Arabidopsis thaliana: one gene and its partners. The protein of the gene in region 2 interacts with the protein of the main gene of each other region in a biochemical or structural test. Each region holds a gene or a part of one and is shown on either strand. Other genes may lie near its edges. The genes, in order: PIF3, HFR1 and FHY1.

The links.
Region 1: the proteins of HFR1 (region 2) and PIF3 form a complex in vitro, tested with the Arabidopsis thaliana proteins (one study listed by BioGRID).
Region 3: the proteins of HFR1 (region 2) and FHY1 form a complex in vitro, tested with the Arabidopsis thaliana proteins (2 studies listed by BioGRID).

Annotation. Positions count from the first base shown.
Region 1 is NC_003070.9:3,071,097-3,078,967, reverse strand, and holds the start of PIF3 (phytochrome interacting factor 3), read right to left. Parts: upstream 3,201-7,871; 5' UTR 3,116-3,200; intron 2,568-3,115; exon of another isoform or gene 2,510-2,567; 5' UTR 1,753-2,509; coding exon 1,682-1,752; intron 1,591-1,681; coding exon 711-1,590; intron 623-710; coding exon 515-622; intron 424-514; coding exon 358-423; intron 126-357; coding exon 60-125; intron 1-59. Other genes in the region: AT1G09520 (uncharacterized protein), read left to right, coding at 6,938-7,720.
Region 2 is NC_003070.9:464,488-472,358, reverse strand, and holds HFR1 (basic helix-loop-helix (bHLH) DNA-binding superfamily protein), read left to right. Parts: upstream 1-4,478; 5' UTR 4,479-4,673; coding exon 4,674-4,675; exon of another isoform or gene 4,676-4,806; coding exon 4,807-5,173; intron 5,174-5,272; coding exon 5,273-5,401; intron 5,402-5,561; coding exon 5,562-5,627; intron 5,628-6,111; coding exon 6,112-6,426; 3' UTR 6,427-6,743; downstream 6,744-7,871. Other genes in the region: AT1G02360 (Chitinase family protein), read left to right, coding at 1-221; AT1G02350 (protoporphyrinogen oxidase-like protein), read right to left, coding at 1,666-1,785, 1,877-1,988, 2,071-2,107, 2,388-2,541; GL22 (germin-like protein subfamily 2 member 2 precursor), read left to right, coding at 7,483-7,597, 7,836-7,871. UniProt on the Arabidopsis thaliana protein: Atypical bHLH transcription factor that regulates photomorphogenesis through modulation of phytochrome (e.g. PHYA) and cryptochrome signalings. Suppresses the transcriptional regulation activity of PIF4 by forming non-DNA-binding heterodimer.
Region 3 is NC_003071.7:15,799,282-15,807,152, reverse strand, and holds FHY1 (far-red elongated hypocotyl 1), read left to right. Parts: upstream 1-4,359; 5' UTR 4,360-4,456; coding exon 4,457-4,509; intron 4,510-4,830; coding exon 4,831-5,306; coding exon of another isoform or gene 5,307-5,332; exon of another isoform or gene 5,333-5,384; coding exon 5,385-5,464; 3' UTR 5,465-5,735; downstream 5,736-7,871. Other genes in the region: AT2G37690 (phosphoribosylaminoimidazole carboxylase, putative / AIR carboxylase), read right to left, coding at 1-88, 184-405, 813-1,042; AT2G37680 (glucose-induced degradation-like protein), read left to right, coding at 1,551-1,683, 1,783-1,841, 2,692-2,835, 2,928-3,001, 3,087-3,141, 3,214-3,276, 3,373-3,500, 3,575-3,653; AT2G37670 (Transducin/WD40 repeat-like superfamily protein), read left to right, coding at 6,614-7,871. UniProt on the Arabidopsis thaliana protein: Key regulator of far red / red (FR/R) spectrum-specific responses essential for the adaption to changing light conditions (e.g. de-etiolation), essentially by regulating PHYA shuttling from the cytoplasm to the nucleus and by directly regulating the expression of some target genes, depending on light conditions and phosphorylation status.

The DNA of each region.
Region 1 (7,871 bases), 2.6 Mb from region 2:
TGTTTAGATTATTAGTTTGCACGATTTTTATCGACTCTAGAGAGTAATGAGAGTGTTACCTGCACTTGAAGTTGGAGTGACTTGAGATACTCGATGGCTTCATCTAGCATCGAAGCTTTGTCCACCTTTAAACCATATAAATGTTACAAAAGCTGATTAAATACGAAAATTCTCGGCTTGAACAATCTTGCTTACAATATGGTTTCAATTGTTTTTCCGGTTTAATAAATACGGAAACCAATCAAAAACCTTTAGCAATTCGTTCTAAGATGCAAGTTTTAGTTTATTTGGCATTGCTCCTTATCTTTCAAACAAAAATGAATCATGAATGGTATTTGTAAAGGAGAAGAAGCTGACCTTGTTACAGTTTGGAATGAGTTCTTGCAGGGCACGCATCTTCTCGTTGATCCTATCACGCCGTCTCTGAAAATTGAGGACAGTAAGTTACCAAATATAGCAATCTTTTGTGAGTTTGAGAATGGACAAAAACCCTTTAGGGGCTTCACTCACTCACCCTTTCAGACAGATTATGCACTTCTGCAGAGCGGCTTCTCTTTGAACCCAAACCCGTTCGAGATGGACCTGCTTCCTTTCTTCCATCTCCTGATTCTTCTTCCACATCCTGCTCAACAATATTCAATAAAAAAACTGAAGAAAACAACAAAGAAACGAAATTGTAATGTGCATAAAATGACATGAGTTTAACTCACTTCACTATGACAGTCAATGTCTTGAATATTCGAATGCTTTCTCTTTAAAGAAAGTGAAGGACTTTCGGATGGGCCATCGAGACTATTACCCGAGCCAACAGAAGAACATACAACTGCTTTTTCACTCTCTTGGTCTTTTCTACATGAGTCCTCTGATATTAGGCAAGCCTTTTGGTTATCTTTAGGCGTAGCAGAAGCAACAGACTCGTTAAGAACCTTATCTTCAGAGTCTTTAGCTCCAAGAACTCTGGTCTGAAACACATTTGGCGGGCTTTGAGGACTCTTTTCTTTAGTGTCATGAAGGTTATTATTAGTAGTCTTCGCAAAAGTTGCAGGGCGTAAGAAATGTGAAAAGTTGACCAAACTAGGCTTGTTACTAGTAATTAGTGGTTCCTGCGTCTGAGTAAACCGATCCGGATTGGTTTGTTGGCTAGGAAGATCTCTAGCTCTATCACTTCCATACAGAGAATGCGATTGGAAACCGTTATACTGCGACGAAGAAGCAGCAGGAGCTGATTCATTGCCATCCTTTCTTCTCTGAAACAACGGGAAAGCAGTTTGGTTTACCGCCATATCACTCTCTTGCTCGTTGACAGTAACAGGAGACGACACATCACGCAAGAAATCAGAGCAATATCCATCAAGGGAGGGATGATGATTCAACCATGGAACAAAGTCATCGTCTTGACTCAAACCCGTCATTAGTGATGGCACTGACATAGGGATCTCGTCCACCATAGTCGTCTTTGAGCCATTTCCAATCTCTCTAGCTCTAGAAGAGTTTGCTTGTGGTGGAGGAATGTTCCTCGATCTACTTGACTGACTTTGAGTTGATATCTGACCATTTTCCCACACCAGCTCCACAACTTCATCTACAGGTCTGTTATTTTTCACACACAACAAAAAAACACATGAATTTGATGAACTTGAAACAAGGCAGACTTAAAGAGAGACAAGTGAATGGGACTCACGGAGAAGGGTTCCTGTCTTGAGCAGATTCAAGCTTAGCTTTGGTGAGCCTGAAAAGCTCAAACAGAGGCATGGTGTTGCGTTTTACAGAAACAATCTTTTACGAAGTCTTGATCCTAAAAAGGTGAATTCATAAAATAGACGAATTAGGCCAAGAAAAACTTGCCAGAAACAAAAATTGTACACTTTGTAATGCTTAAATTAGAAAACTTTTCAGTTCCCAAATTAGAAACTGGGAAATAAAGAAATAGAAAAGAAATCAATGTCTCAATCATCAATATGCAATATAAAAAAAGCAGAGATTTTCACTTAGTTTAATGGCAACATGATTAGTCAAATCAAAACCAATTGTTTAATCACACTGAAGAACGATTCAAAACAGCGCACTCAAGACCTAATTAACCATCTCTTAAGAAAACCAAAACAAAAAGATCAAAACTTTGATCTTCTTGTCTGAATAAAGCTATCATCGTAGCTGACCTGAGAAAAAGGGTACTGAAGCAATCGAAGTCAGCGAAGAGAGAAAGAGAGAGTGAGAACCTCAAAGTATTAAAGTGGCATCAATCCAAATGCAGAGAACAGAGGAGAAAAAGTCGGCGAATTGGAGTAGTCCTGAGAAAGTAGGCGGAGAGAGAAGGAGATGGAGACAAATCGACGCACAAGACGGACGCAGAGAGAGAAGAGAGGGGACCAAATCGTCTGTAACTGAGGATTTTGATTTTTTGTTTTCACAGTCTCTGAGACTCCGTTTCTCTCGAACATTCAACCTTTTAGCGTCGCCCGAATCATTAGCTCTACTCTTTACCTTTCTCTCTATTTTTCTTTTCTCCCTATATTTATAAACACATAATTAAAGAGAAATTGCTTCATATAATCAAATATTAATTATGTCAATGATTATATATAGTGGATTATATATGTTGCACTAAACATTGCAACAATTTGTTAAAACACACACCAAATACAATTCTACCATGTTTGTTTGTTTTTTTTTGCAAATAAAATGATGAATTTTTGCATACAAATAGTCGATCGTATGATTACTTTGATAAAAATTAAAGACAATGATAATTGCGTATGTATTGTTTTATCAAATAGTGTTCATTCTCTTATTTTAATAGATGGTCAATTCTCTAATATACTAACAAATCAGAAATACTATCTATAGAACCATCTCACTGAGATCTTTGTGATTAAACAAAGTATTGATTACTTTTTTGGGCATGTTGTAGGTATCGAGACAAGTTTAATAATTATCGTAAACAAGTACTAGTTGTTGTATTAGTAGTGGTTTTAGGCTATTAGTAGAAATAATTAATGTTTAATTAGATGTACTATATATAAATAAATTACGGTATTATACAATCCTTCAATTGATATGGTAACTGCTTTCATAAGATATTGTTATTAAACGAGAAAATTAAAGCAAAAGGGACCTAGAGAAGAGAGTTGGAGCATGGTGACCAAATTGCTTCTCACCGACCTCTGCACACTTCGTCTGTCTCTGTTACATGATACAGGTCCTTCGCATTATTACAATTAATTCATGGTGTGTCTATGAATAATTTAATACACTTACAAATATGAAAATAATCATATACTAGAATATGTTATCTTATCTTAAAGTGACATGGGCCTGTGATACACTAAAGTTGTGTGTGAAGAGATGTGTTATCATAAAGGAACACTGCCAAAAAAGCATCACACTCCAAGTGGGGTTGAGCAACCTTGTCTCTCTTTATCTATCTTAATTATTAAAGGTTTGACTTCTCTAATCATTACTATTTTTCTTAAGTCTTTTTTAGTCTTTACGATACTAAATTACTAATCATCCTCAAATTTGGGGACTCACTCAGCAAGTTCTATTAACTGATGAAAACCAATCATTTGCGCTATAATAATTGAGATTTTTTTTAATCATGGGATATAGTATGTGGTATAGTGGTTCCAAACTCTTAGATTAGAGCATATTATCTTTAAATCTAATTTGTTCCTTTCTATAAGTAAAAAATAAATAAAACCATCTAGAATATCAGTCGAGTTTGTTCACGAACGTTGCATCTTCTGGTTTATCTCTCGTTATAGCTCGGTTGATGATGAAATGTCAATTAAATCGCCATGCAAATTAGATTCTAAAATACGTAACAACCCATTGTATACTATAAACTTTCCAAGTGGATAATTTGAGTACATTTGCATGGACCATTATTGATTTCATCACTGTATTTTATGGCCATCTCTTGTTCAGAAAATAATTATAAACAAATTTATTATAAAATCAAACCGAGTAAATAAATAAGTAGATATATATATCAAAGAAAGAAGAAAACTCGGAATGGAAGTGATCCTACTATATTATTTGGGAAGTACATTTGAAATATAATCTTCTTTTTTGTAAGTAATTATATAGGTATGCCATTAGAAATAAAATTTTAAAGAGTAAATTAATTCATTTCTTTAAAAATTAAAGAGTCAAATACTAATTTAATTAATTAAATTTAACTCAAAAACGAAATACATTATTAATTTCCAGAAAAGTAACCAATTAAAATCAACAAATTAGATTTGATATCTAAATTATCATATTAATTTTTAAAATGTAACCTTATTTTTTGTAAGTAATTACATACGTATGCCATTAGAAATAAAATTTTAAAGAGTAAATTAATTCATTTCTTTAAAAATTAAAAAGTCAAATACTAATTTAATTAATTAAATTTAACTCAAAAACGAAATACATTATTAATTTCCAAAAAAGTAACCAATTAAAATCAACAAATTAGATTTGATATCAATATTATCATATTAATTTTTTATTAATTATTATAATTCACCTCTCATCTTTATATGATTCTATTTTTGCGAAAAAATAATATCATCGTTATAAAAAAATAATTAGAGTTTTTTCGCATATGCCACAATTTGAATTTTTAAAAACGAATATAAATTGTTCAGTACATGAAAAAAATACTATAACGGGTCAAAAGTAGATTTAAGAAAAAAAATTACTGAGTACTGTGTCATAATTTGAATATTTATATTCAATTTCATACATATTATTTTAAAATTTATAATCTTATATACTACAATAATTAATAACATATTAGATTTTTTAATGTGTATGATGTGATTCAATTTTTAATACAAGCTGAAAAATCCTACAATTGACGGGTTTAAATCAATATTAATACAAGATGGTATACTACATGTGAAACTCTAAAATTAACAATCAAAATACAAGTATATAATTTTAAACACTAAACAATATAAATAATATCAACAAAACATATACAACTCGTAGTTTCTATACATTTAAAATCAAATAAAATAATATCATATATTTATAATCAATTTTACAATAAAAGTTTTTAGTTTAACTAAAATATAAGCCTATCTGCTGTATAATGCAAGTTAAAATTATAAATAAGCAGATTACCATCACGATGGATGTACCTTCTCACATACACACCTATCAAAAACTTAAAACCTTTCAAAACCTCTTGGTATATTCAAATTAGGATTCTTCATTCATGGAATCATTATTCCAAAGATTTTGGGATGTCTTATGAAATGATTTTGGCAGAAGAGGATGTAAATTTTTTTGAATAAAAAGTACTCACCAAAACATATGTTTATTGGGATTTTTTAGATAATTAAATCAGAGAATAGGGCTGGACATATGAGTAACCCATTCGAGTTCATGTAGAACCCGTTCGGGTTTGGGATTAATGGGTATATGATTTACTATTTAATAGAATAATTCTAAATATTCGGTTCGGGTCGCGTCCAGTTGGGTTTAGGTCAGTTTGGATAAAAAGTTTCAGGCCCTAAAAGTACTCAAAAAATAGAAACGGATATTTTGTATGTAAATAGTGCGTCTCCAAACAAAAAAAACTTTTAAATTTATTAAGTTTTAATAAATTTAATTTAATTTAAATATATTTTACTAAAGTTTGACAAATATAACAAATAATTTTAACAAACATAGCAAACATAACAAAGTATACAATTTAATTTATATAAAATATTAATGTCCGTGCTATATACGGGTTATGATCTAGTTGCTATATGTTAGGCCAAAACTCAAATAAAATGACAAGACCCTGTCCCCGCACAATTCTCTCAATCCGCCGTGGAATAGGCCAACAACAGGTTTTTGATCACTTACTCTACATTCTCTACAAAAATAAAAGATCTGATCTTTAGCTAGCCGACCACGTGCCAGAAGTTTATACTGGCATTAATCTTTTACCTCATTATCATGAACAACTTAGGAAAGAGAACCCTAGCTCATTTTTTTTCTTTCTTTTCTTAGAACTGGCCCTTCCACAATTTAAAAGGTCAGATACATTTGCTATATATATTATCAAAACGTCACTTTACGTCAACACAAAAGCAAATTTGTTGGAGAAGATGATCATGATCAGCAGGTAAATTATTCTCGACGATGGTGATAGATGATGAGTCGATACACGTGGTGATTTTTGAGGGCACAAGAGATGTGACACATGTGACATATGCTATTACAATCTGGCATATTCTATATGAACAATATAGAAGAAAATAATGCGTTTCCTTTTGGTGCAAAATGCTTTTGTTTGTCTTTTCCTTAATTTGGTGCAAAATGTTGACCAGAAACAATATATCGAACAAGAATCGGTATGTATGTAATGTATATACGTATATTATGCAAAATACAATGAACTTCTACACGTTGACACGCTTTGCCGTGTCCCTATCCTCATAATCAAACACGTCCCCACTTCCTTGGATAGTCCAAAAAAACTAATCAATCTCAACTATAAACCAAACCCAATTCAGATTTTTGTCAATTTAAAATTGAATCAGAGACAAAACCAAATCCACATTATTGTATCTTTACCACAAACTGGTTGATGAATTTAATACGGTTCGGTGCTCTTAAAAGTTTATGCGACACTGTTTAATACAATCAACAACCTTTTGTAGAAGAATTATGGAACGGTAGATAGGTGTTAAACCTTAAATTTTTATTGGGCCTTACTCATCAGCCCACTATAATATCTGGCCACATTCGTCTCTTTGGTCTCATCCGAGTCAGAATTAACAGAAACAAGTGGCTAGATATTCAAGTGGGCTCAACAGTTACAATCATTTGGCCCAAGTAAGTAAAGCCAACATAGCCTAACAAATCGATTAGTGCCACGTCAACCCTCTTCCTCGATTGAAAAGAGGAGTAAACCCTAATTTCCCAAAATCGCAAAGACCAGAGAGACACTATGAATCTTCCATCGTCAACGACGGCGACGTCAACCTCCGCGACTTCCGATGCAGCGGCGAATTCCACCGAAAGATGCGATGATTGCGGAAGCTCAGACGCCTGGGTGATACACACAGTACGTCTCCGTGCATCTCTCCGCTTCTTCTGCACTCATTGTCTCCTCCGCAACCATCCGGCGTCGTTTTGTCCCGGTTGCTTCGCCTTGTACGATTCATCTCCGCCGTCTTTTCGCCGCGTCTCTTGTTCCATTAAAGGGTGCCACTCCTTGACTCACATTCACTGTGCCGGCGATGAAAGTCACCTTTCTTATCTCTGTCCTCCTTGCCGAGACCCTAATTCCTTCTCCTTCTTCCGCCCTATCGTCGACGAAAACGGCTCTCGCTTCGTCGATAAAGCACTCTCCGAAGCTTTCTTATGCGCTGCTAAGATCGCTGCTTCTTCAATGAACAAAGCTGTTATGACCGCTAAGTGTGAAACTGACCGGAGAGGAAAAGAAGCTGCTTTGGCGAAGAAGAGAGCTCGCGAGGCTCTTGAGCAGGTTGTCATGCTTGATGCCAAGGAGAAGGCAAGATCGGTTGTTCCTAAGCTTAAAGAAGCTCCCGTTGATCAGAAACCAAAACTGAGTCCTGCATCAAATGGTGCTACTGTGAAAGAAACAGAGAGCTCTGATACTACTACTACTCCTACGACGACTACGACTAAGAACAATGGAGGTACAGAGAAACAGAATCCGGCAACACAATTGGCTAAAGTTAAGCAAGAAGCTGATGCGTCTAGGTGAAATCAATGTTTAAAGTTTCAGGTACCACAACTTCAAGCATTTCGGCTTCTGATGAAAGAAACTGATTCTGATTCGATCTCAATGTAGATTGTAAGTTATCCTTTTTTGGTTTGTTCATGTTTTTCGATCGTTTACTATGTGTAGGAATCTT
Region 2 (7,871 bases):
TCATGATCGGAAAATACCGACCTACGGCGGCGGATTTGGCAGCTAACCGGACCGGCGGGTTTGGTTTAACCACAAATATAATAAATGGCGGTTTAGAGTGTGGGATTCCTGGAGACGGACGGGTCAATGACCGAATCGGGTTTTTTCAGAGATATACTGGGCTGTTTAAAGTAGCAACTGGGCCGAATTTGGACTGTGAAAATCAAAGGCCTTATGCTTAAACAATTAATTTGGTTGACCCGAAATATGTATGTTTATAAACAAAAAGTCAACATGTATGTTTATGGCATTGCCCACACATGGAGCCATAAAAGGGGTTTATATTCAATAATGTAATTCAATTTAATGTGATTTGATGGTTTTGATTTCAACTACTACCTAATTAAAATTAATTCCCATGGTATTTCTTGATGTTTTTATTTTATCTCATTTTCAACAAAGAACCACTATGTTGGCCACCCTTTATTGCATGAAAGAATATGTTACTACTATGGTTTTTGCTTTCTAATAATAAGCATACGAAAAATTAATACATGAATCTCCATAAAATTTAATGTCTTTGTAGATCGTATTTCAAGTAAAATTAATATTTTGAATATTAAATTTTATGGTTTATGTTTGTTAATACCAAAATTAAGCAGAGAAGAAGAATCCTAAGCCAGGTGGAACAGCTGGTTTTGGGGGCGAGATATAAATGCGACACAAAAGTCAGACAAAAACCACTTGCTGCCTGCTACCCAAAGATTTAAGAGTCCCACTGGATTCTAAAACACACAACATCGATCCACAATACCACAGGCCCACTTTTTCTCTCTCTATATATAAAAGGCAGATAAGAATCACATGAGAAAACAAAATCTACACCAAAACCCTAAATATACAAAGCTTTTTCGAAGTTGATCATCAATGGCGTCAATTGTTCTTCTACTCACACAAATCCTTCACCCTACAATCTCTGAATTCCCTTCTTCTTCCTCCATAATTCTTACACCATCTTCTTCTTCTCCATCTTTCCATTACACGCATCAACAGAAATCTCCAAGACCCGACAGTTTCAAGATCTCACCTCTTCACGAAGATCCGCAAGATTCAAGAGTTATGATCGATTTGTTCTAGACTTAAACTATCTTTCTCCCGCTTTGTGTAATTTTTGCTCTTTTGGCCACAAGTTGTAAAATCACTTATGAGGATATTAATGGGAACCTTCACATACTTATGTCTTGTCAAAGTCTAATCTGCAATCTTAGTATCTAATTGGTTTTCGTTTAATAATTTTCTTACTTGTAAGCGGACCTATAAATGAAATCATTGGCTTGGGTAAGCCCCTTCCACACACCGACCCAATGCGACACCAGCAGCAACATATTTGCCACCAAAGAATATCCATCAATCATGACCAGATGATGAAAGACCACAGCTTCAGCAACTTTATCATCAAGTCACTCATCATTGGGAAAGTCTACAAATCCAACATGATTTAAGAATTAAGATAGTTTAAGTATGCATATTCAATCGACAAGCTTGTATATGGGAATTTTGGCGACAAAACATAAGATCCCAAACGTATCTACTTGAATTTGCACACAACTGGTTTCACAAATCCAAAAACTTAACAGAAAATTGGGGGAAAAAGACTGTTAGCAACATGAGATGGAGCAGTCATCGCTACACTTTTGCTCTGTACAGAGAATATCCCCTCAGAGTTTCATAAGTCGAGTTGTATCCTCTGCTATCCATCTTAGTAATACTTGAGAGCTTCCTTAACTTTGCAAGTTGCAACTCAACCTGCCCAAATAAAAAAAAAGATAATGATTTTTGCACTGTTCTCATTGAAAAGGGTGAAAGAAAACAGATTCATTAGCATATAATACAATACCTTGCAGAGATTGCCTCTGGCAACATTGTGATTCCTTTCCTGAAAGAACCAACTGTTTGGGCCCTTTGGCTTTGACAGAAGCGGCCTCAGTTTCCCATTCCACAACACAAACCTGGGAATGGGAAACAATATCTACCTGAATTACGCACACAACGACAAATGTAAATCCACTAAACCAAAAACAGAGCTTCTACCAAAACTCTTCTAGTAAACTTGCAAACAACGACAAGGCTTAAATCCACTAAACCAAGACAGAGCATTCTACTAAAACTCTTTTAGTGAATTTCAAACCACTAAACTATCAGATACAAGACAATTTGTTCTGTAGATAACTAATTTTTGCTTTCGAAATCATATACATTGGCTCAATTTAACGCTTCATGTAACAAAATCGAATTAAGCGAATTCGATCGAAACCACAATAGGAAAAGGGAAAAAAAAAAACATTTTTCCTCGCGTGTCAAGATACATACTCCGCTGAGGATCAGTCAATCCGCCGTCACGGTAATACCTCCTCCGCCTTCGAGTTTAGAAGATCGACGATTGATCAACCGGAAACAACAGAGATTAGTAGAATCATAAGCAAGTAACCGAGGACGGAGAAGAATTATGAGAGAAATGGCTGCGACACCGCCGGACGGAGAAGAGACATTTGATATTTCCATGGCGATCGCTACGAAAAGAAGAAGTAGAGGCCTGTTCTCAGTTTTGTCTAACATGTTTCACTCCTCATTGATGGGCCCTTAATAAATTCATATTTGGGTTAATAACATTACATGGGCTAACCTAAAAGCCCAGTAAAGATAACGTTCTATTTGGCAAAAAAAGAAGAAGATAGATAGATCATAGATGCTGCATTTAATGTACAACAAAAATAAAAATCGTCAATCAACCACTAGATACACAAATAGTACTTCGTATAGTATATGATTCCAACCAAAACGGTGGGAACAAGAGAAAAATATTAAAATAAGAATCAATAATGCAAAGTTTTTCCATAATATCAAATAGATTGAACAGTGGGAAGTTGTAGATTGGAACGTATATTCCGAGAGGTCGTTGTCGTGAAGGAGATTGGAAACCTATGTAGTGGCTGTGGTTTTGCTTCGTCGCTCGCTAAGACACCAACAAAATATAAAGTACCCAAGTGTCAGACATAGCACCATGTCCATCACGAGGGCATCACGTGAACACGCCTTTTCTTCTTCCTCTCTCTCTCTCTTTTTCGATTTTTTTCAGGCCCATTTGATTCAACGCTACAAAGTTAACATTCATTAGTCAATTGAATAATAATAATTAGTATTTTTGTTCTACTAATTCGAAATTAGAATTTGATACTGTTTTTTTTTTTTTTTGATTGTTGATATTTAGTAACCAGGTCATTTTTGTTTATTCAGAATATGTTGTAATTATTGGAGTTTTTTTTAATTAAGGAAAATAGTGTGGACCTTTTTTATCAAAGATAGTAATAATGTGGACCATCGCACCTGCTCGGTGTATGGTTGATGATGACGTGACTCTAAAATTCCAATAAATGTGTCGTGGGGTTACAGAAAACAAAAAAAACTGATTCGTTATAGGATTGGTTTAGAGCCCACAACCCACGTGGGATTTTGGATAAAACCCTAAATGAATTCTTTTTTCAGGAATCCATAAATGGTCATGAAATGAAATGCATTCTCAGGCTGGAAATAATCGACCATTATATTATTGCACAAAAAAGTGAACTCTAGTATCATAACTCTGAAATTATTATGATTGCTGGTTACTGAATTTTGTAAGCCTTTCATAATAACGAATTTACCAATTGGGAGATCGAATAATCTTATCGTTGTTACAGACGATATTTTTTTGTCGATTATATTATGAAACTTGTGGTAGTCAACCTTTTTTTTTCCAAACGGAGACGTCATCTTTTTGTTTTTATATTTAGAGATGATCTGACCAAAAATAAACAAATAGACATCCGATATTTTACATTGTTTTATATATATATAAAGATAAAGCTTAATGACGAGTATTCAATGATAAACGATAAGATTACGGGAAAAATAATTAAACGGATAAAAATGGCCCTACCCGTTGTGCATTACAGTTCTTGGTTAAGAAATACTATTAAACTGTCTCTCAAATCTCAATATATAAATGAATACATTCTATACGTACAAAGATAAATTTATCTCTATGTTCATGTGTCAAAGTGGTAGTGAATCTAGTGACGTTATTGATTAATCAAGATTACTTTTATCTTTCTGTGCAAAATTTCAAGATTACTCTAAAGTCGATATATGCTACTATGACGTAGTTTTGGGACAATTACGTATAGAATCATAAAAACAATAAGCAGAATAATAATCCATTTAAGTACATTGTGAATTTGTGATAATGGAATTATTTGACAATACTTTTCCAAAATAAAAACTAATTTAATTACTGTATTAATTATTTTAGTAAAACAATATTTTCATTACAATGTTTGTTGTGAATCCAAAAAAGTATTGTTTCCAAAGAACTCAAATGACATCAATATGTCTATAATAACCTCGTGTAGCTGTATGTTAGAATCTAGCCGAATTGTTTTATTGTTGTCGGTGTACGCAACAAACGAACCACACATACTTTGAAACGTGGCACAATATAAGTGGGTCACCAATGTAGCTGACAACTATACCATCTATCTGATCCGATCGCTCTTATAACATAAGCGTATGGGATACCATTTTCTCGGACAAAGCTGAAATCCCTAAAGAAAAAACACTTCTCCAAACTTTTCATCTCCGATATCTCTTTAACTAACATGTAAGTATAATTAAACAGGAGGTTTCAGAGTTTAGGTTTCTTGCCTTGTTATTCTCTTTATTTATTTCTTTAATAATTTATCAATGATTTGTATCGTAAACCCTAATAGTTTACTACTTTTTTCTTGGCAGGTCGAATAATCAAGCTTTCATGGAATTGGGATGGAGAAACGACGTCGGATCACTTGCTGTGAAAGATCAGGGCATGATGTCAGAAAGAGCAAGAAGTGATGAAGATCGTCTAATCAACGGTCTAAAATGGGGCTACGGCTACTTTGATCATGATCAAACTGATAATTATCTTCAGATTGTTCCAGAGATTCATAAAGAAGTAGAAAATGCGAAGGAGGATTTATTGGTTGTTGTCCCTGATGAACATTCTGAAACTGATGATCATCATCATATTAAAGATTTTTCAGAGAGATCAGATCATCGATTTTATCTGAGAAACAAACATGAGAACCCCAAAAAACGTCGTATCCAGGTCTTAAGTAGTGATGTAAGTCGATACATAGATATATTTTCATGTTACCTTATGTATTATCATTTTTCACTGTTTTTAATTTTTTCTTTCTATAAATAAAATTAATTAATTTAGGATGAATCGGAGGAGTTTACAAGAGAAGTTCCTTCAGTTACTCGAAAAGGTTCCAAGAGAAGAAGAAGAGACGAGAAGATGAGTAATAAGATGCGTAAGCTACAGCAACTCGTACCTAATTGTCACAAGGTTGGTGTGTATATAGATCCTTCTATATAATGTTTCAATTTAACTATTGAGTGTCTAGTCTTTTCCGTATAAGTTTCCGCTACTTCCGTTGCATATATGAAGAAATCTTGCCTTAAGTTTCCAATTCTGATAACGGGTGGTGCTTTTTTACGGTTTTCAGACGGACAAGGTTTCGGTTCTCGACAAGACCATAGAGTATATGAAAAACCTTCAACTTCAACTTCAGGTCTATATTTAACTTTATTCACTATTTTTATTTCACACTTTATTCAGTGTTCTTCTTCCATATATTTGAATTATTGAGGCTTGAGGTTTTAAGTGTTTATCTAATAGTCTGAGTTTTTTTTTGGTTAATTTAACTAGTTGACATAAACTGTTCTTGGTATTCGATCTGACTCGCCAACTTATGAGATATGGATTATTGTTTTACAATATGGGTTTCAAATTGATCAAACAAATATAGCCACTTTTTGGTGTTTAGTGACGAAAAAAATGGAATGATATATAGTAGGCAGTAGATAACCTAGATGGTGAAGTCTATAGAATTTCTTTAATATTTCGAATTCATCTCTTTTCATGTGATTATTTAGTGCCAACTAAATGTTTTATATTTTATAGAACTATGTACCCATTTTGATCATTCGAATATGTATATGTGCTATTTATATTCAGAAACTAAGTTGTAATCAAAGTTGATGTTATAATTGCAGATGATGTCAACAGTGGGGGTGAATCCTTATTTTCTTCCGGCGACATTAGGATTTGGAATGCACAACCACATGCTGACGGCAATGGCTTCGGCTCACGGCCTAAATCCGGCGAATCACATGATGCCATCGCCGCTAATTCCGGCGTTAAATTGGCCATTACCACCGTTTACTAATATTTCATTCCCACATTCATCTAGTCAATCTCTATTTCTTACAACATCATCACCAGCTTCTTCTCCTCAGTCTCTTCACGGTTTGGTTCCTTATTTCCCAAGTTTCTTGGATTTTTCTTCCCATGCGATGAGAAGACTATGATAAGTAAGTAGCTCGATAAAAGTTTATGTGAAATGATCGTTGACTAATTAAGAGAGAAAAGAGTTCCAAATTAGGACAGTTTGTGTGAACCATTTGTGTCATATACTTTTTTTTCCGGGTGGTTTTGTATATTAATAATAATCAATAAGTTAAAACTTTTTGTATAAATTCTTGCATGTAACAATTTTTTCATTTATCTGATATTTTGTAAAATATATTGAGACATGCTTATAAGAGCATTGAACGTAGGAACAAGATTTCCCTGATTCTTAAGCGTCTCAAACGTTTACACTTGGTTACATGCATCCCAACTAGCTTTATCTTCAGCATCTCAAATTCAGGACCAGTGGGTCATACACTATGATAATGTTAATGTACAAAAAGTAACATTAACTTACCTCTGCACACTGCATGTTACTTAGAAGTTAGGATGTGGCTCTGCCAAATATAGGGCCGGATGTATGAGAAAAGATCAAAAGAAGAAATGAGGAAACTTGACTTCGAGAATTATTAATCACTTTCTTACACATCAATTATTGATTTGCGTTTTGTGTTTACACATCGCTTTTCCACAGTTGATATATTCATTTTTTTGTGGAAAATTCAAAATGTTTTCTGTTTTAAAGTTGTGACTTGTGAGTAATAATCTCTTTTCTTTTGTTTTCTGAGCTAGGTAAATACACACACAAGAAATATTACGTCCGAAACTCGAGACACAATTCATATTTATATATAAAAAAAGAAAAATTCTACACGCACAGACACAGGCGCACACTTATATACGTATTATTTTACAAATACATATCCTTTTGTCTCAATAAGGCTTGGCTTTAGTGAAAAACAATGTCAGAAAGGCATAGTTTTACCTACTAATTAGCTATGACGTACATTTCTTAGTTTGGTCAAGACAAATAAAATGTTTGGTTTTTTATTTCGCCAAGCAAATGACTTGTCGATCAAACTGGTCTCTGATTCTATAAGTACCAAAAACTTCGAGCTTCTTCTCTCATAGTTAAATAAAATTCATCTTTTCACGGATATATTTAATTTGGAGCCATGATGAATTCAAGAATTTCTATTATCATTGCGTTATCTTGCATTATGATCACTTCAATTCGTGCATACGATCCCGACGCTCTTCAAGATCTCTGCGTTGCCGATAAATCTCACGGTAGAAATTACCTTTGTTCGAAAATTTAATCTATCGTGATGTTATAATAATATCTATGTATCAGGAGGATCATCTCAAACTCTATGAACATCTTATCTAAATTTCAAATCAAAAATAAAATTAATATGTTGAAATTAGAGATATTTTAATATATAGATATTTTGTGGGAATATTACACCATTATTAAATCTATGTTGACTTGATATAAAACCTAAACGGCACGATGTGCGAAACGCAGGAACCAAACTGAATGGATTTCCGTGCAAGGAAACAT
Region 3 (7,871 bases), on a different chromosome or scaffold from region 2:
TTTGGGTTGGCAATCCACTCCTTGTTTCTCAAGCTTCTCTAGTGTGTCCACGTCAACATGTTCAATTTCTACAGTTAAGACTCCACATCTAACTACGACAATAAACAAAAATAACCATAAATATTGTAATGAAAATAAGAATTGAGAACCTGAAGCATTCAAGAAACAAACAAAAGAAGAGACCTTTTTGCAAATTCTTCTACTGTAGCACTGTCGTCAAAGCTATCAACCATGTGACCGTAGGACAATGCACTTGCTGAACAATTTTTAGAAGGATCTAAAATCATCACTTTGATAGCCAACTGAGAAGCAGCTTGGCAAAGCATACGACCCAATTGTCCACCCCCAAGAACTCCCACAATTTTCTCAGAAACTCCATGGACATGTTTATTCTCGCGATTCTCACTTGCAAAGAGGAAAGATAAATAACATTAGAAATTCCTTCCCCAGTCTTACTATTTTCAAATCTTTGTGTCTAGTAACAGAGAAACGAGCAGGGAAGCACAGCTAGTTTCTATATTTTATTCGTCATTGCAATTGGTGTGATGCAATCTTAACCACAACAGCTATGCAACTTCTCATGTCCATGAAACTTACAAGAAAAGAGAAATTTTTCTTCATTTTCACAGATTAATATATGCAGGCTTAATTGATATGTGGTTTAAATACAACGACTTTCACCTTTCAGCTTAATTGATCCAATCTCGTTTATCTTTTAACACACCACAATAGCCAAGAAAATAATAAGAATCGAGAAAATACTTAAGAAGAATGGTTGACACCATTATACTCAATACAGGGGACATAGGTACCTGATAGGAGAAGCATCGTGAGAGCTACAGGGCACAGCTGAAGCCGTATTCAATTTCCCAGACGAAGAAGTGGGAAGCTTCTGCAAATTTGCCATAGTCAAACTCTGGAACGACTGCGTTCTGGTCACTGGAAAAGGTCCAACTCTGTAGGTGGAGCGAGAAGTGTGAAGGACTGGAGTTGTATTTCCAACGACAAGAACAGCAGCTGAGCTTTGTTTCAAAAGCAACATCTAGAATGCTATACAAAACGGAATACTTTTAGCACCGTTTTATAAATATGCAATCAAGTAACATGAAAAAGTATGGTAGACCACAATAGAGAATGAACTCAAGCAAAACCCAAGTCAACGTCAATAGCTAAACCAATGAAAACGACGTAAGAAGCTCATGTGAATGGATTCAAGTAACATTCTTAGAGTCAATAGCTAAACTAATAAAGCCGCAGCTTCAACTTGAGAGGAAGGCAAACCTGGGTGAGAGAAGCAGCTAGACAGAGAGAGAAGTCGGAAAGTCAGGTCCAAAGGTTAGATTTTTATAAAGCAAGTTCGATAATAGAGGTGGAAAAAAGCTTCTTCCGGATTTGGAGGCGGCGGCGAGGAGAGAGAAGATCGGTCTGACGGGGAGAGAAGAAAAGGTTTTTGAGAGGTTTTATACAAAACGCAGTCGAAAACCGGAGAAGCCTAATCCGTTTTATGTATAATTTGATTCGGTTAAGAAAACCGAACCGGGTATGATGAGATGTGGTTTTTGATTAGGCTCCACGATTTGATTTGGTCGCACCAAAGATCGGATTTTTATCAGACGGAAAGGAGGAGACGGAAGAAAATGCCGGTGAGAGTTGTTGAGAGCAACACGCCTGCTCAAGTTTCAGGTTTTTGATCGCTTCTTCAAGTTTTGAATTTAGGTTTGTTTGTTTATGTTCCCTCTTTGTGGCTCTCTCGCTCATTTGTTGAGATTTGTTGCCATTTAGGAACTGATCCTGGGAATCGATCACCACTTCCCCCTAGTTCACTTCTCGGCGCTGGCCAGGTACAACGATTAATGAATTAACAAAACATGTTATTTTGCAGAAATTTATTTCTAGGATTCGTATGATACTTGGATTTTTACAAGTTTTTCTCTCAAGTGTCTGACCATAGAGGTCTTGGGAATATTGGTTAGGACTAGAAAGAACTTTATTAGTTATGCTTGTGCATCTGTGGTTATGTATGCACACTCTTTTTATGAACATAACCTTATGTGTAAGCAGAATCTGAGTATACCTATAAAGACATTATCTTAGGGGTTTTTATGTGTAAAGGTGAATTTTCTCTCAAACTTGACAAGTTCTTACTTATGAATACTTGAAATCACAAGAATAGCTAATTTTTTTATTGTTGATTCTGTCGATTGGCTGTGGTAGTTATAGAAGAAACTTTGCTTCACAAGGGTTTGCTAGTATACTTTATGTGAAATTTGTGAGAGAGAGGCTATGGTAAGATGAGAAGGAAAGTTATAAGTTTCCATGATGTTTAGCTACTTAGGTTAGCATAAAAGAACTTAAAGATCTCGTGTCTCGTTGTTCAGGCACAAAGCATCATTCATAGGCAGGCAACAAACATCATGGGTCTAGTTACTTTCTTCCCATTAGATCTGCAACTTGTTCAAGTGTTCTGGTTGCATAACGATTCTCTAGTAATGCTGATTTTTGTTATACCAATTAGAAGTTGGCCTTGTCTGCTTTGATTGGCTTCATATCTTTTTCATGTTGACATGTATGCTTAATTCAAGTGCATTTGTATCTAGTTGGGATTGTATAACATTCATTGGCTCAAAGAGATTGTTTATTCATAATGAACCTAAAGATGAGGAACACACATGTTTTTATGCTGTGCTGCAGGCATTTTCTGGTACGCAAAATGTCTCTAATCAACAGAAGGAGGAAGCTTGGAGAGTCAACGTCCAGATACAGGGTATTGACCTTGAACATGGTTATCTTTGTGGCACCATGGAAGCTCTAAACGTTCCCATGGCAGACACTCCTGTAAGCCCTTACACTCTTACTCATTTTTTCTTCATATTGCTTCCCCTTGAATTTCTAATAGGGGACACGATTCTTGATTCTGTGAGTGTCAGGTCATAACATTCTGGGAAGGGGAAATCGTTGATGGAAAGAATTATACCTTTTACACCGGAAAATGGGAAGCAACGTATGTCCCAATTCCTATATTCTTGTAGATTTGAAACTGATGATTTCTTATCGTGAATAAATTTTTGAAAGTTTGTTTGTCACAGGAGGGAAGATGATATGAGACATTGGTCAAAGTTCCCGTCTTTTTCGCCTCTTCAGGTAACACTCGAGTAACATTGTTTGTATAGTCAGTAACATCTCCTAAGCAACGTTCTGGACTTAATACTGCAGGGACAAGTTGAATCTGATGGTGGCAGGCAATTGGATCTTAACAATTATCCTTATATATTTATGGTATAACTCTCAGTTTTTCCTATCGAATCCAATCATCATTTTCTCTCAAGTATTCCATAATTCCTGCAACTCGGGTTTATTTTTGTGGTGGTGCAGAGATGGAAAGAGCAATACTTTGTAAACGTTGGCACAGATTGTGGACTAACAATAGCTGGATTTTACTACGTATGCTTCTCCTGCAGCGATGGTTCCATCAGCGGTTTCTATTATGATCCAAACAGCAGGTTAGTCCAAGATACAAACTATATAATCTGTTGTTGTTTGAGATAAAACCTGATGATATTTTGTTTCTGGACAGTCCGTTTCAGAAGCTGGAGCTGAAAACAGTTAACGAAGGAAGATCTGGTTTCAGCTTTTCTTCTTACGAGTTGCAATGATGAATGCTACCAAAATCATCAGACAGCGCCATATGATACTCTCGTCTAAACATGCGATGCACGTGATCCAGTACATTATGACGTGTCAATTATTATAAATTATTAGTAAGATATTTTTTTGCTTAGCTAGTAGACCAGACCAAGTAAAGAACTAAAAATACTATTTTGTCATTATGGTACCAAGCTAATAGTTTATCTGGAAAAAGAACAAATTGTCCAAAAAAATAATTACCAAATAGTTGAGAAGTTTTTCTAAAAATTTTTGTAAAAAAAATCCAAATTCTTCTAAAATTAAGTTTTTAATAGAAATTTAAAAAGACAGTTCTACATCATATTATTTTCTTTAAATAATGATATAAAATTTATAAACTATTATCTTTGTAAGATAATGAATATTTATACCTATGTAAGGGAAAAATTGATAAATATTTATACATCCTCATCCAAAAGCCCATAAAATCGTTATGGGACAATAGTAAAAAAGATTGCAAAATCGTATGGAGCGAAAGATAAAAATAAAAAACGGTCCCGTGTAAGAAGATGGGTCACCTCGCCAACACGTAGACTCTTTTCACGCGCCAAATCAAACACCATGTCGACGAGATCAACGGATTCAAATGTTTCGTGTAATACACGCTCCAACGTAGCGCGTCGTACACTTGATGCTTAATTTATGTATTTTAAGTTACGCAGTTTCCAGATTTTCAGACCCTCTGAAAGTGGAAAGAGCATTTTTTAAAAGAGTAATAAGAAAAACAATTATCTTTGAACTCTCTCTATCTCTCTCTCTCTCTCTGCGATCTATGCCTGAAGTGGAAGTGGATAACAACAACGAGAAGCCATCTGAGATTAACAGGTTTCAGTTTCTCAATCTATTCCTATATATTATCATTAGAGATCAAATTTCTTATTATGCTTCTTCTCAGTTTCTTTAAGATACAGAGGATTGACTGATTATGTATGTATTCATGTCAATGGTTGACCAAAAATCATAGCTGCAGAGGATGATTGAAGTTTTATCTTGATTTTAGCTTATTTAATCGTTGAGATTAAGAAAGTTTTCCTGTTATTCTTTCCTAAACCCTTATTAAGTTCAAGATTAATAAAGTCAATTTCATATATTTGGTGATTAAGATCCATCCACTATCTTAATATGTGTTGTTCTTTTTTTTTGCAGTTTCCATCACATGATCATAAGTAGTAGTAAAAATGTGTTGAAAATGGAAGAAGTTGAGGTGAGCAAGAAGAGGAAATTTCAGACAGATCAATCTGATGAGTTATCGTTATTACCTCTGTCAAAACACACTTGTTTTGCCAATGTTGCTTGTTCAGAGAATACAAATGGTAACTCGGAGATTGATACAGAGTATTCAATGTCTTCTTATGTGAACTCAACAACTTCTATGGAGTGTAACAATGATATAGAGATGAAAGAGGAATCATCTGGATCATGCGGTGAAGACAAGATGATCTCTTTCGAAAGCCATCTAGATTACATCTATGGGACTCAGAACTTAGAGGATTTTTCAGAGAAAGTCATTGAAAACATTCTCTATCTCGATGAACAAGAAGAAGAAGAGGAAGATGCTAAAGGATGTAGTAGTAATGCTGCTAAGTTTGTTCTGTCCTCTGGAAGATGGACTGTTAACCAAGGTAAAGAAAACCGGATTTTGGTTTGACCGTATTGATTCAATGAACCGGGGATTCACTAACTTGGTTTCATGTGTACAGATGATTCTACTCTACATGAGACAAAGAAGCCTACCATTGATCAAGAATTTGAACAATACTTCTCAACGCTAATGCTGTAACAAAATGATGTTGAGACTCAAAACATATATGAAGAGATGTATGTACATAGAACTGTACTCGTTCTGTTTTGATTCTTGTCAACCTTAAAAAAACGTTCAATTCAAAGTGATTAGAGAGCTTCTTTGAAATGTTTGCAACTCTAGTCTTCAACTTTTAAGATTTTTATTAGCTTGCAAAACTAATCTTGCTTATATATCTTGTTCTGCCTGGATCAGAAATAAAAGTTAGTATAAAAAAATTCTGAGATGATTATGACACTCTGATCCTTCATATGAACCAATCTTGTGTTCAAGAGTATCCCTGATGTATTTCAGTACCAACTTAACTGAGAAATGAGAGTCAATGTTCTTTAATAAGTTTGTTCAGATGATATCTTCTTCTTTTTTTGGTTGGTCACCTATATTCAATCTGCTCTCTCCAAATTATCTCCAATACACTCTCTTCTGAACATAATACAAAAATTCATAACTTTTTCTTATTATGGTCAAAAGTCTTGTTAATATTCAACTTGTTCCTTTCTAATGTAAAATCTAAACTGATTTAATAAAGAAAAAGATGATAGCTTATTGATATTCTTCCTAGTAAAACATTTTGGCATGATGGTCAAGACTCAAGATTTGCTAGAATGTGGTTCCCTCGCATTATCAGTCTTCTTGGTCAATGTCTAGTAGTTTTAAATTCGCTATAAAAATAGCAAAAAAAAACAAAAACAAAAAATTGTTGATTAAAAAGAAATTAACACCAAACTTTAAAAATAGTTATCCTTAGTAATTTTATGTAAGTATCTTTAACACGTAAAGTCGAACATAGTATATGATTTTGTTCACACTAATAGTCGAACAAAACGTAAATTAAGGTTTGAATTATAACGAAAGCAAAACATGCTTCCACGACCTTTGGTTTTGACTTAAGATCTTAATTAACATCATCAAACATTTTTATTAGTTATGGACTTATGGTAATGAAATTGAACGTGAAGAGATCGATGTGTCTTACAAAAAGACAAAACACGTCTTCAACACTTTCCTCCATAATTCCCGATTTGCCCATCATTCCATAACGGTGCCTCTGAATCATCAATGATCGGCCAAATTTTCTGATTTCAGATTTCAATCACCATTTTCAAATTCGGTGGAGCTAGTTGGTAGATGATGGAAGATGGAAACAAATTGGATCGGAAGAAGACAATGACGATGAACTGGGAAGGATTAGGAGATTTTGAAGATGAAGATGATGATAGATTCTTCGAAACTCATGATCGTCTCTCTTCTGCTTTAACTTTCGACATGGCTAATGCTTCTTCTTCCGATGAAGATGAAGATTTCGACGATTGTCGACTCTCGTTTTCTTCAGCCGTCTCTTCCTTAACCACCGCCTCTAGGAAATTTCGTACGCCGGCGATGTCTCCTGATTACGATATTTGGATGGCTGCTCCGGGATCTATATCTGAGCGTCGTCGTCGTCTTCTCCATGGGATGGGACTTGCTAGTAATAAAGATATGGTTAGTGCTGTTTCCATTCGTCGCGTTGTTTCTAATGCGCCTGTTGTTAGTAACGGTGAAGAAAAGAAGATGAAGAAGAAGATGAATCATGAGGTTGATGAACAAGATCATGATCATGTTCCGGTTATGCTTGCGAGGTCAAGATCGGAATCAGATATTGAGAGGTTCTTGATTGAGAAACGAAGAAAAGAAGAGATTTTAGGGAAAATCTCAAAGCAGCGTCTTACAAGAACGTATTCTACTATTTGTCCTACAAGGACAAGGATTTGTCAGTACCAAACTCCGATCAGACAAACACCTGCGGTTTGTGGAAATGGAAAAGCTTTGCGCGGTGGTGGAGAGGCGTTGACATCGGTAATGTCGAATGCGAGGGTTGGCGCGTTTTTCTTGATAAAGAATCTTGATACAGGGAAAGAGTTTATAGTGAATGAGTATGATGAAGATGGAATGTGGAATAGGCTTAGTGATCTGCAAACAGGGAAGCAATTAACTTTGGAGGAGTTTGAGAAATGTGTTGGTTATTCACCTGTGGTTAAAGAGCTTATGCGTAGAGAGAATGTGAATAGGATTAACTACGAACCGTTAATGGATCTTCGCAAGTTTAATTCGTATCTTTCCAAGAGTGTGAGGTTAAGTAAGAGAAGAGGAGCTGCATTGTTGAAGAACATTAAAGGTGTAGCTCATTCCATGAGTTTACGCGTTGCGGATAAAGATGTAAGCGATGGAAGCACTGATAGTCCGAAAAAGGGGAAAGATCATAAACATGGTAAAGCTAATGAGTGGGTGAAAGTTAGACCAACAGGGAAATCTTACAAGGAGTTAAGTGCTTTACATATGTGTCAAGAGATTCAAGCTCATGAGGGTGCGGTTTGGACTATCAAGTTTAGTCAAGATGCTCATTATC